Linked DNA regions of Drosophila melanogaster. The protein of the gene in region 1 interacts with the protein of each later gene in a pairwise test. Each region holds a gene or a part of one and is shown on either strand. Other genes may lie near its edges.

The links. Proteins that work in one complex are often made in the same cells at the same time.
Region 2: the proteins of AIMP2 (region 1) and CG17564 interact in a two-hybrid assay, tested with the Drosophila melanogaster proteins (one large-scale study listed by BioGRID).

Annotation. Positions count from the first base shown.
Region 1 is NT_037436.4:15,581,718-15,585,973, reverse strand, and holds AIMP2 (aaRS-interacting multifunctional protein 2), read right to left. Parts: upstream 2,337-4,256; 5' UTR 2,240-2,336; coding exon 2,093-2,239; intron 1,978-2,092; coding exon 1,879-1,977; intron 1,688-1,878; coding exon 1,535-1,687; intron 1,335-1,534; coding exon 1,106-1,334; intron 1,052-1,105; coding exon 675-1,051; 3' UTR 627-674; downstream 1-626. Other genes in the region: CG12301 (uncharacterized protein), read right to left, coding at 2,710-4,256. UniProt on the Drosophila melanogaster protein: Required for assembly and stability of the aminoacyl-tRNA synthase complex.
Region 2 is NT_033779.5:19,297,609-19,302,036, forward strand, and holds CG17564 (uncharacterized protein), read right to left. Parts: upstream 2,326-4,428; 5' UTR 2,120-2,325; coding exon 2,007-2,119; intron 1,835-2,006; coding exon 1,380-1,834; intron 1,322-1,379; coding exon 1,034-1,321; intron 980-1,033; coding exon 828-979; 3' UTR 737-827; downstream 1-736. Other genes in the region: CG10750 (uncharacterized protein), read left to right, coding at 2,765-2,877, 2,940-3,394, 3,450-3,739, 3,794-3,931.

The DNA.
Region 1 (4,256 bases):
ACTAAGATGATGATCGTATAAGCTACAGGTTATATGCATGCGGGCTAACTCAATTCCCAGCCTGTGGGCAAGCAATTAAGAGTTCAGGGACTTCTCCAAATCCAAACATTTATACGCAGAAGAAACACACAACACAGAAACAAGAATAAAACCAATAACACAAGAAACTCAAACAGAAACTGATTATCAATATACACAGCATATGTACTAGGTATTTAATATTTAAAAATATACATACACACATTTTTATGAGCGGAAACGAAATACAAATGTCCCAATTCGCGCGACGCGGCATCCTATCGTACATAATGGACACAGCATCAAGGTAAAGAACAGAAAAAAAAACCATATTAAACAATCAATGGATTTCAAGAATAAAAGCAAATATGGAAACATAGCGATTAAGCAATTTTTAAGTGCAAAATTGACAAAGTAAGTTTAAAACCAGCTATTGCAATATGGAAACGATGAAGCGCATTGTTCAAACAGTAACAGAATTGCAACAAAGATAAATAAGCCAAATAAAATTACTGAAAAAAAAATAAGATGGTCCTTCAATTTGGATGGATTAATTGTTATGGTTTTTCGTTAGGAAAGGAAAGGGTACAGAAAACCATTCAGTGCATCACATTGAATTCTATAATTTATTTGTTCGCCTTTGTCGATTGAATTATTTAAATTTGAACCACGAGCTTGGCCCTTTTTCTCCAAGCCACTAGCGCAGGCGTCAGATCCTTCTCGGTAACAGCTGGCATGCGTATCAGTGAGCTGTAGACACCGACATCCGCCACCGACATCTGGGATCCACCGAAATACTGCTGCTTCTGCAGTCGCTTGTCCAGCAGGCGCACCATGGCCACCTGCGTTTTGTGCGTGTTGCAGCGCAGCAGTTGGTAGCAAATGTCCAGGACAAGGTCGATCTCATTGCAGAGCGGAGAGCCCTCATAACGATACTCGGCTGGACCCACACGGCCCAGATAGCGAATGATGTTCACCTCTCCGTAGATGGGCACGTACATGGTGGGCGAGCTGATCATCTCGGTGTGTTCGCCTGGAAGGCATCGAATAAACAGTATTTTGTACTTTGTAGATGTGTTATACTTACAGTTCTTCCAGATGAGCGTCACACTAATCTTGGGCAAAGCAGGGTTTACTGGAACCTTCGCCAAGTTGGCCTCGAATTCCCGTGCTGCTGGTCCAATGTCGGCCATCGTAGAGTGCGTAAAGGTCTTGACATCAATAGTGTACAGATTGCGCCAGGCATTTTTCAGGGCCAACAAGGCATAGGGTATGAAGTTGGGATGTCCATTGATGACGACATCCTGCAGTGGCACCTGGTTTTGATTTATTGGAAATATTATTAAATAAAGGTGATGGAACTCTCTTTTAAGCTAAGACTTTTCAAAGCTATGTTACACATAATTAAATCCTATTGCATAAGCTTCTAAATATTGTTTACTTTGATTATTATTTAATTATTTCTTATTTAACCTTTGAACTCCTAGTCTTGACCTTGACATATTGATAGTCGTACCTCCTTTAATCCACCATTCTGGAAAGCAGTCGTGTGCTGGAAAGTCTTGCCACAAACACCAAGTCCCGCCCGGATTTGTCCCAGCTGCGCCTTCAGCTCCTCCAGCTGCTTGAGAACCTTCTCCTGTCGGGCGGCCACTGATGCCGTATCGTCCTGAAAGTAAAAGCAGGGAAAGAGGATGTGTTAGGGAACGACATATAACGTTAGCCAAGGCCACAAGAACACACAAAACGAAGCATGGATGCATTATAAATATTTCTGGTACTGGCGTATTGTTCTTTTTTTTTTTTTGTTAGTCGGTGGTTTATAAATAGAATTTCGTATTTTAGTTTGGTGGTCTTAACCTTTAGCAGTCGCTGTATTTGTCGGCCTAAAGAGTCCAAATCAAGTGCACATGTGGCTGCGTTTCGTCCCGTTCTGTCGATCCTGTTGGCCTCCAATTTCTGGCAAGGATCACACATGCGGGAATGGAATGGATGTGGCGTTGTAGACATACGTTGCACTTTCACTGTCCTTGCGACCCGACCAACTTCTCACTGGCCCGGCAAATAAACTTACGCATGATGATGTGGACGCGGATGTGGATGCGGATGTGGAGGAGCCGCTGGCCAAGGAATCCGCCGCCAGGCTAACGTTCTTGAGAGGATACATGCAGGTGGGCAGCTTTATGTCGAATTGCGGCAGCAGAGTCTTCAGTTCGTACATTTTCGCGGCGAGAATCGTTGGATAAACACAATAACCTGCGCAAATTATCAATTCCAAAATGTGCTTGCCGTCTGTGAGAAACTTTACAAAATACCAAATAATTTAAGGCAACGCTATCGCTATCGTTCCACTTAACACCATTAATCTGGTCACATTGCGTGCGGTAATGAAAGCTATTGAATTCAAATTTAAAATGTAGTTTTTATACATTTTATACTTCATCCAGAATATTCTGCTTGGTCAACTACTGTTGTGTCGTTATACCTTTAACGAAAATCAAACAAAACATTGTTTAACTCTTTTTAATTCAAGTTTTTTTTATAGAAATGTCTCAGTTATTAACAAAAATAAAAAACAATTTGAGAAAATAATGCAATTTATATAATAATTTCCCTTTCTATAGCTAAGTAAATTAGGAGACTGGCAATCGTTCATATTATTCAGATTTATTTTTAAAAATATTCCTAGTTCTATGCTATCTTGGCCTTGGGTGGCACTTTCGGTATGCGCTTTATCCTCCTGTCCACGATGTGGCGTAGACGCCTGTCCGGCTTGACCAGCTCGCTCTCTGTCATGGGCTCGATTACCTGGCCCTTGCGCGTGATTACTGCCGGACGGGTCAGCATGCGGAACGCCGTCTCCGGCACAAAGTTCCGGCCAACTGGAGCACGGATACTGGCTTCGTAGTCTGCCAGGGATCGGAAAGGAAATGGTATGCTGGAGACCATGTGCTGGCGCGCCTGCTTGCTGGCGGACTCGTTGAGGTAAAGATTATCCTTATTCTCGTCACGACGCTTTTCCGGAGCAGCCAACTTAAGAAGAAGCCGCTTGTTTCGTCGCTCCATTACCTCCTTCGAAATGCCAGCACCCGCCCAGGAACCCCATCCAGGCAGGGCGAGCTGAAGCTCAGTGTTCTTAAGCTCGGAGTCCTTGCTTTTGTCCCGATTAAAATCAGCTACAATGTCATCATCCTCGAAGGCTTGACTGATTGTCAACTGGCGTTCAGCAGCGGCGTCTTCCTCGTCGTATTCAGCTGCTTCATCGTCTATTAGAGCATCGTTAAAGCCTCCCGAGTTGCCCTTCTTTTGGGTAAACACCAAAGTTGTCACCTTGTTGGGATCTATGGTATCCACAGCTGGAATTTCCGTGCTTTCTGTGTTACCTTCAACGTGGGCAGGGATATTATTCTGTGAATTTTTATCCTCCTCGTAGTTAAGGGGCTCGTCAATCTCTATCTGTTGCTTTGTCTTTTTTAAAGCCAGACTTTTTAGGTTTTGCAAGACGTCCTTCTTTTTCGCCTTCTTTCCCTTGACAGGAACTTCTTTAAGTTTGTTTATCCGTTCCCTCAATTTCTCCATTTTCTTATTTAGTTTGGCTCTGATATGATCCTCGTGTTTCTCAAAAATGTCATCAATGGCTTTTGAATTCGGGCTTGCCTTGGCTTCTTTCTGATCAGTTGGGCAAATATCTTCCACCTCCCAGCCATTTTCTATCTTAACTTTCGATTTCTTAAGTTTCTTCTTAGCAGGTTTTACTTCTATTAATGGTTTCCGAATAGTTTCTTTCTCCTCCTGCTCGTCATTATCCTGGACTCCTTCCAAATCCCTACGATGCTCCTCCAGTAACTTTTCGTTTTTATTCCTTTTTGTCCAATATTGCCGCCAATTGGAACCCTCACTTTCACCATTTCCATTTTCCGTTTGCTCTGTAGCTTTTCTTTTTGTCCAAGGATTAAAGGGATCGTAGTCATTATCCTCCTCCTCGGGTAAAACTCTCTTCTTGGTGGTTTCATCTTCGCTGTCTGACACCTGCTTTTTCTGGGTCAGTTCCCTGCTAACAGCCAACTGCTCGGCCAGATCCTTTCGCACATCCTTGTCGTACTTGGCCCGTATCTGCAGATTCTTCGCCCAAGTACCGGTGTTCTTGTGCCGCAGGCTGGCACGCTCCTGCACTCGACTCTTTTCCAGGGCATTAAGCTTTTCCAGCGCCGCCTCTGGATCGGTTTTCTGCAGCAACT
Region 2 (4,428 bases), on another chromosome or scaffold:
GCCGGCATTAAAGTTGCATTGCAGCAAAAGTGTTGAGCCCAAACCCAACTTGTGCATTTGCTGAAAAAGCGGAGGTCGTGTCAAGAGTTCGACAGGTTAAACGACGAATCGAGACTCCTGTCAATAAATAATTGAAAATCAGAGCCGCCGGCCGAATGGTCGACTATTGTTTTTTGTCACCGTCTCTTTTCGGTGGTAATTAAAAAAGTTTTTCCCTGCTGAAAAATAGCAAGAAAATTTTCAATTGACCAGAGAGCGGGTTTTTTTTTTTAGACCGGCTAATTGTCATGCAGAGCAGTGGTAAGAGGAACATTTCCCGGGCTGACGTAATTAAAAAGCCGTCAAGCGAAGTTGGCGCAGTTAGCGCTAAATGTCGTCCAGTTGATGCACAGACTCTGGAGCTTAAGTACTGGCCTTCCATCCCGCCTGCAGATCTCTAATTAAATAAGCAAGTGTCACATTTGTCTTGAGTGCCCGACAATTCGGTGACTTATGATGACTGCAGAGCAGGACGCGACGAAAGCCGCTCCAGGACCCCAATTCGGACCATCCACTTGGACGGAGGCATTGAGGAGCAGCGGAGAAGATTTATGAGGTAAAAGCAATTAGAAAGTGGCATTAACAACCGAATGCAGAGCTCAGCACAATTAACAATTGCCACAAGCTGCAGGAGCAGGCTAAGAGCAGCGAACCATCACACAAAGCACTTCTTTCTATAGAAACAAACAAACGTTTTAAAAGTTTCGCTTTTAATAAGCTTTTATAGTTGTAATAGCTGTGAGGTGTGCCTAGTCTTCCCTATGAACTCTTTGAATTTTGATATCCAATTAGCACAGCGACTTATCTCTGGCTTCCTCGTGCTTTATCGAGGGATCAGATGATTCGATTTCCTTTACAACGCCAGTTAATATTTCCACTTCGCCCATGATGGCATCCAACACCTTGTCCAAGTCGCCGCGAGCGGGAAACGAATGTACATCTAAAATAATAAAATGAATAAATTATTTAATAATAGCAAGATTTTTTGACTAACCTCTTCGCCGTAGAAGGATTCGGTGAAGGTTGGTAATCGCATCTATTGTGCGCTCCTTGTCCATGTAGTTGTTGTTGATGGCGTCCTTGGTCTTGGCCAGGATCTTCTCCCATCTGAGGCACTGCACTCTGGACTCGTTGTAGGATCGTTCCAGTTTGGCCAGATCGTTCTTTAGACCCAGCACAGTTAGAGCCGCATCATTTGTGATCTGCACCATACGCTGCCGCATGTTCTCGATGTCCTGGAGCTTTTGATGCTCCAACTTGTTGATCTCCACTTGAGCCAGCACTGTAGAACAAAAAAAAATTAATAACTTTATTTCATTTTATAAATTAGCAATGCTCACTCAGCGCATCACAGCGATCGGTGCAGTCCTTTGGCGAGACGAATATGTCGGATACCTTCACCACCTCGTCGAGCACCTTCTCGTAGGGCTGGAACTCCTGCACGGTGGCCTTGAGAGCCTCCCGAAAGGCCTTGAGTTCGCCGATCGAGTCCTTGAAGCTCTCAATGCCCTCGCCGAGCTCCTTATGGTTGAGCGTCTCCGCTTGGGCGGTCTTCTCGGCCACTCTCTTTTTGTCCGCGCAGTCCTTGATGAAGCTGTTCACCTCGATGAAGCGCCGCCTCAGCCGCTCCTGGATCTTGTACATGTTCCTCACCCGGGCGGAGTTCAGCTTGGTCTGCCGCTTGGCACTGGTCAGCATCTCCTCCTGCAGCTTGAGCATGGCTTCGTGCTCGCGGAGATTGTTCACATATATCAGTTCGATGGAGTCGCCGGCAGAGTCCGAGTTCGGTGGAATTCTACAGGAAGTTACGAATAGGTCAAATAATTGATACCAGATAGAGACATCCTTGCAACAGTAAATTACGAAGCTGTAAAATTTCTCAAAAATCTCAAACTGCACTACCAGGATCATTTTAGGATTGGGTACTTCTCTTTCAGCCTTTTTTCAGTGTGGGATTCACTACTTACACGAAGAATTTGTTCTGCTGCTTAGAGCTGATATAGTCCCCCACGGCATCCTCCGGCCGCAGGTCCAGATTTCCCAGAACATCGAGCTTCTTGGTGGGCTTCACGCGGGGCATCTTGGATCTCTTTGCCGAAAGTAAAAGCTCAAGTGTACGTTTTTGTTAGTTTTTTATATTTTTTTTTGCTTTGGTTACCGCGATACAGCGCGGATTGTGCGTTTTGTAGTAGTAGTTGTGTGTGCTGTGTGCTTACTTTTCAAAGTGTGTTATTGTTTTGTAATAAAAATTAACAAGACCTACTTGGAACATGTTTTTTATTTGGGTGACACATAAAAACAATTGGTTGCCAGGAGGTTCTTTTATTACCGTGGCAATGGTTGAGAAGGTGTAACCAGTTTTGTGTCATGGTAACTGCACAATTTGGTTTCTTTCGAAAAAACAAAATAGGAAGCTTCTTCGGCAAGCCGAACCTAATATACTCTTGATACTCGATGATGATTAATTTTTAATCAACAACTATAGAATTATGATATCTTTTCAATTGTTTTTACTTGATTTAACGACTGGTCGTACTTATGAAGGAAACGTCAGCAATTGCATAAATATCTGAATGTAGTAATAAAAAATGGTTTAATCCTTTTATCCTTGACTGTGCTGTCTGCCCATATACATGTAGAATTACTCATCACACATCGTTCTCCAATAGATATTCCCCCAATATATATCAATATATTTGAAAAGATTATATTTTAATAGGACAAGATGCCGCGACGTAAGCCCACCATTAAGACCGATGTGATCGGGGATCTGGACCTCAGTCCAGAGGTCGCCATCGATGACTATCGCGTCTCTCGCCAGCAGGACCAATTCTTCGTGTAAGCTAAAAGAGCAACTACAATATGTAAGTCATACTATTAATGAAACTTGGATGGTCTAGGAAACCGCCCAATTGGGATTCGGCCGGGGATAACATCGAGATGCTGTACATAGCCAATCTCCGGGAGTACGACGCCATGAAGCAGGTTCAGATCCAGCTACTCAAAGATGCCAAGCGGCAAGCCGCATTAAATGTGCAGCGCATTCGCAAGATGTACAAGATTCAGGAGCGCCTGCGCAAACGCTTCGTCGAGGTGAATGGATTCATCAAGGATTGTGCGGACAAAAAGCGCAGTGCGGATAAGTCGATTCGCGAGGAGACCGTTCTCCACGCGGAGGTCACCAAGGAGATAGACGAGTTCAAGACCTCCATTGCCGAACTGAGCACCTTTCGCAATGCGCTCAAGGCCACGGTGGCTCAGTTTCAGCCATACGAGAGGGTCCTGGAGGAGGTAGTCGAGGTGTCGGACATCTTCATCTCAACGAAAGACTGCATCGATCGATGTGACGCTCTAAGTGGGTTCTCCACACCTCCTGTAATTTCCATTCTAAATTTGTTTTTGTTGTGCAGTGTTGGCCCAGGTGGAGATCAATAAGCTGGAGAGCCAGAAACTCAACGAGATCGAGGAGATGCGCCTGCGAATGGTTCAGATCACCAGCGAGGCGGCCTTGACCGTTTTGGGCCTCAAAAACGATCTGGCCCGTTTGGATCGTTCCTATGTCAGCTCGCGGGCCACTTGCCTCAAGTGGGAAAAGATACTAAGTGCCTGCAAGGACACCACGTCGCTCTACAACCTGGACAAGGAGCGCATGTTTGATGGCATTCAAATCCTGTACCGCATGCTCTGCAAACGTCGAGGTATGTCCTTGAAATCCTTTGACTCTAGCTGATGTACCAACTCCACCCCCGCAGACATTGTTCCCAGCTACCACAGCTATGAGATCGACAAAATCATGAGCTTCATCATGCGCGAAATAAGTCTTCTTTCATCGGTCCTCCAGGAATTGGAGTCCAATAAGGGCGATAAAGTCGGCGCTGGACGTATGTGCTAGTCGGAAAATATAATATTTTTCATGGAGCATAAATAAATAAATAAATGATTTTAAATCCTTTAATTAATGGAACGAAGTTCAAATAGCTTTTACTAATTTCCGTTTGGGTTATTTTTACTGCAAATATTTAAAAAAAATTCAGCCGAATCAGAGATTAGAAGGGTTGTAGCGAAGGAATAAATGTACGACTTGATTTATGAGCTCCAAACTGTTTAGGGTTTTTTGTTTGAACCGAGAGGCCTTACATCCTTTCAGATTTACTCTCATTCCTAAGAACTTAAATGGGCGCTCCACCTTCAGCTTTATGGCACCCATAACATTTGTCTAACCCCAAAACCTTGCCAGCCCTCCCAAAAAAAAAAAAAAAAAAAAAAAAAACTAGAGAACCCACAACATTCGGTTGGGCATTGTTGTTCCGTGCCCAAAAGAAAATCAAATGGAATCCGATAAAAAGGAAATGCATTCGAGGACTGAGATACCAGAGGCTGGGCAACTTT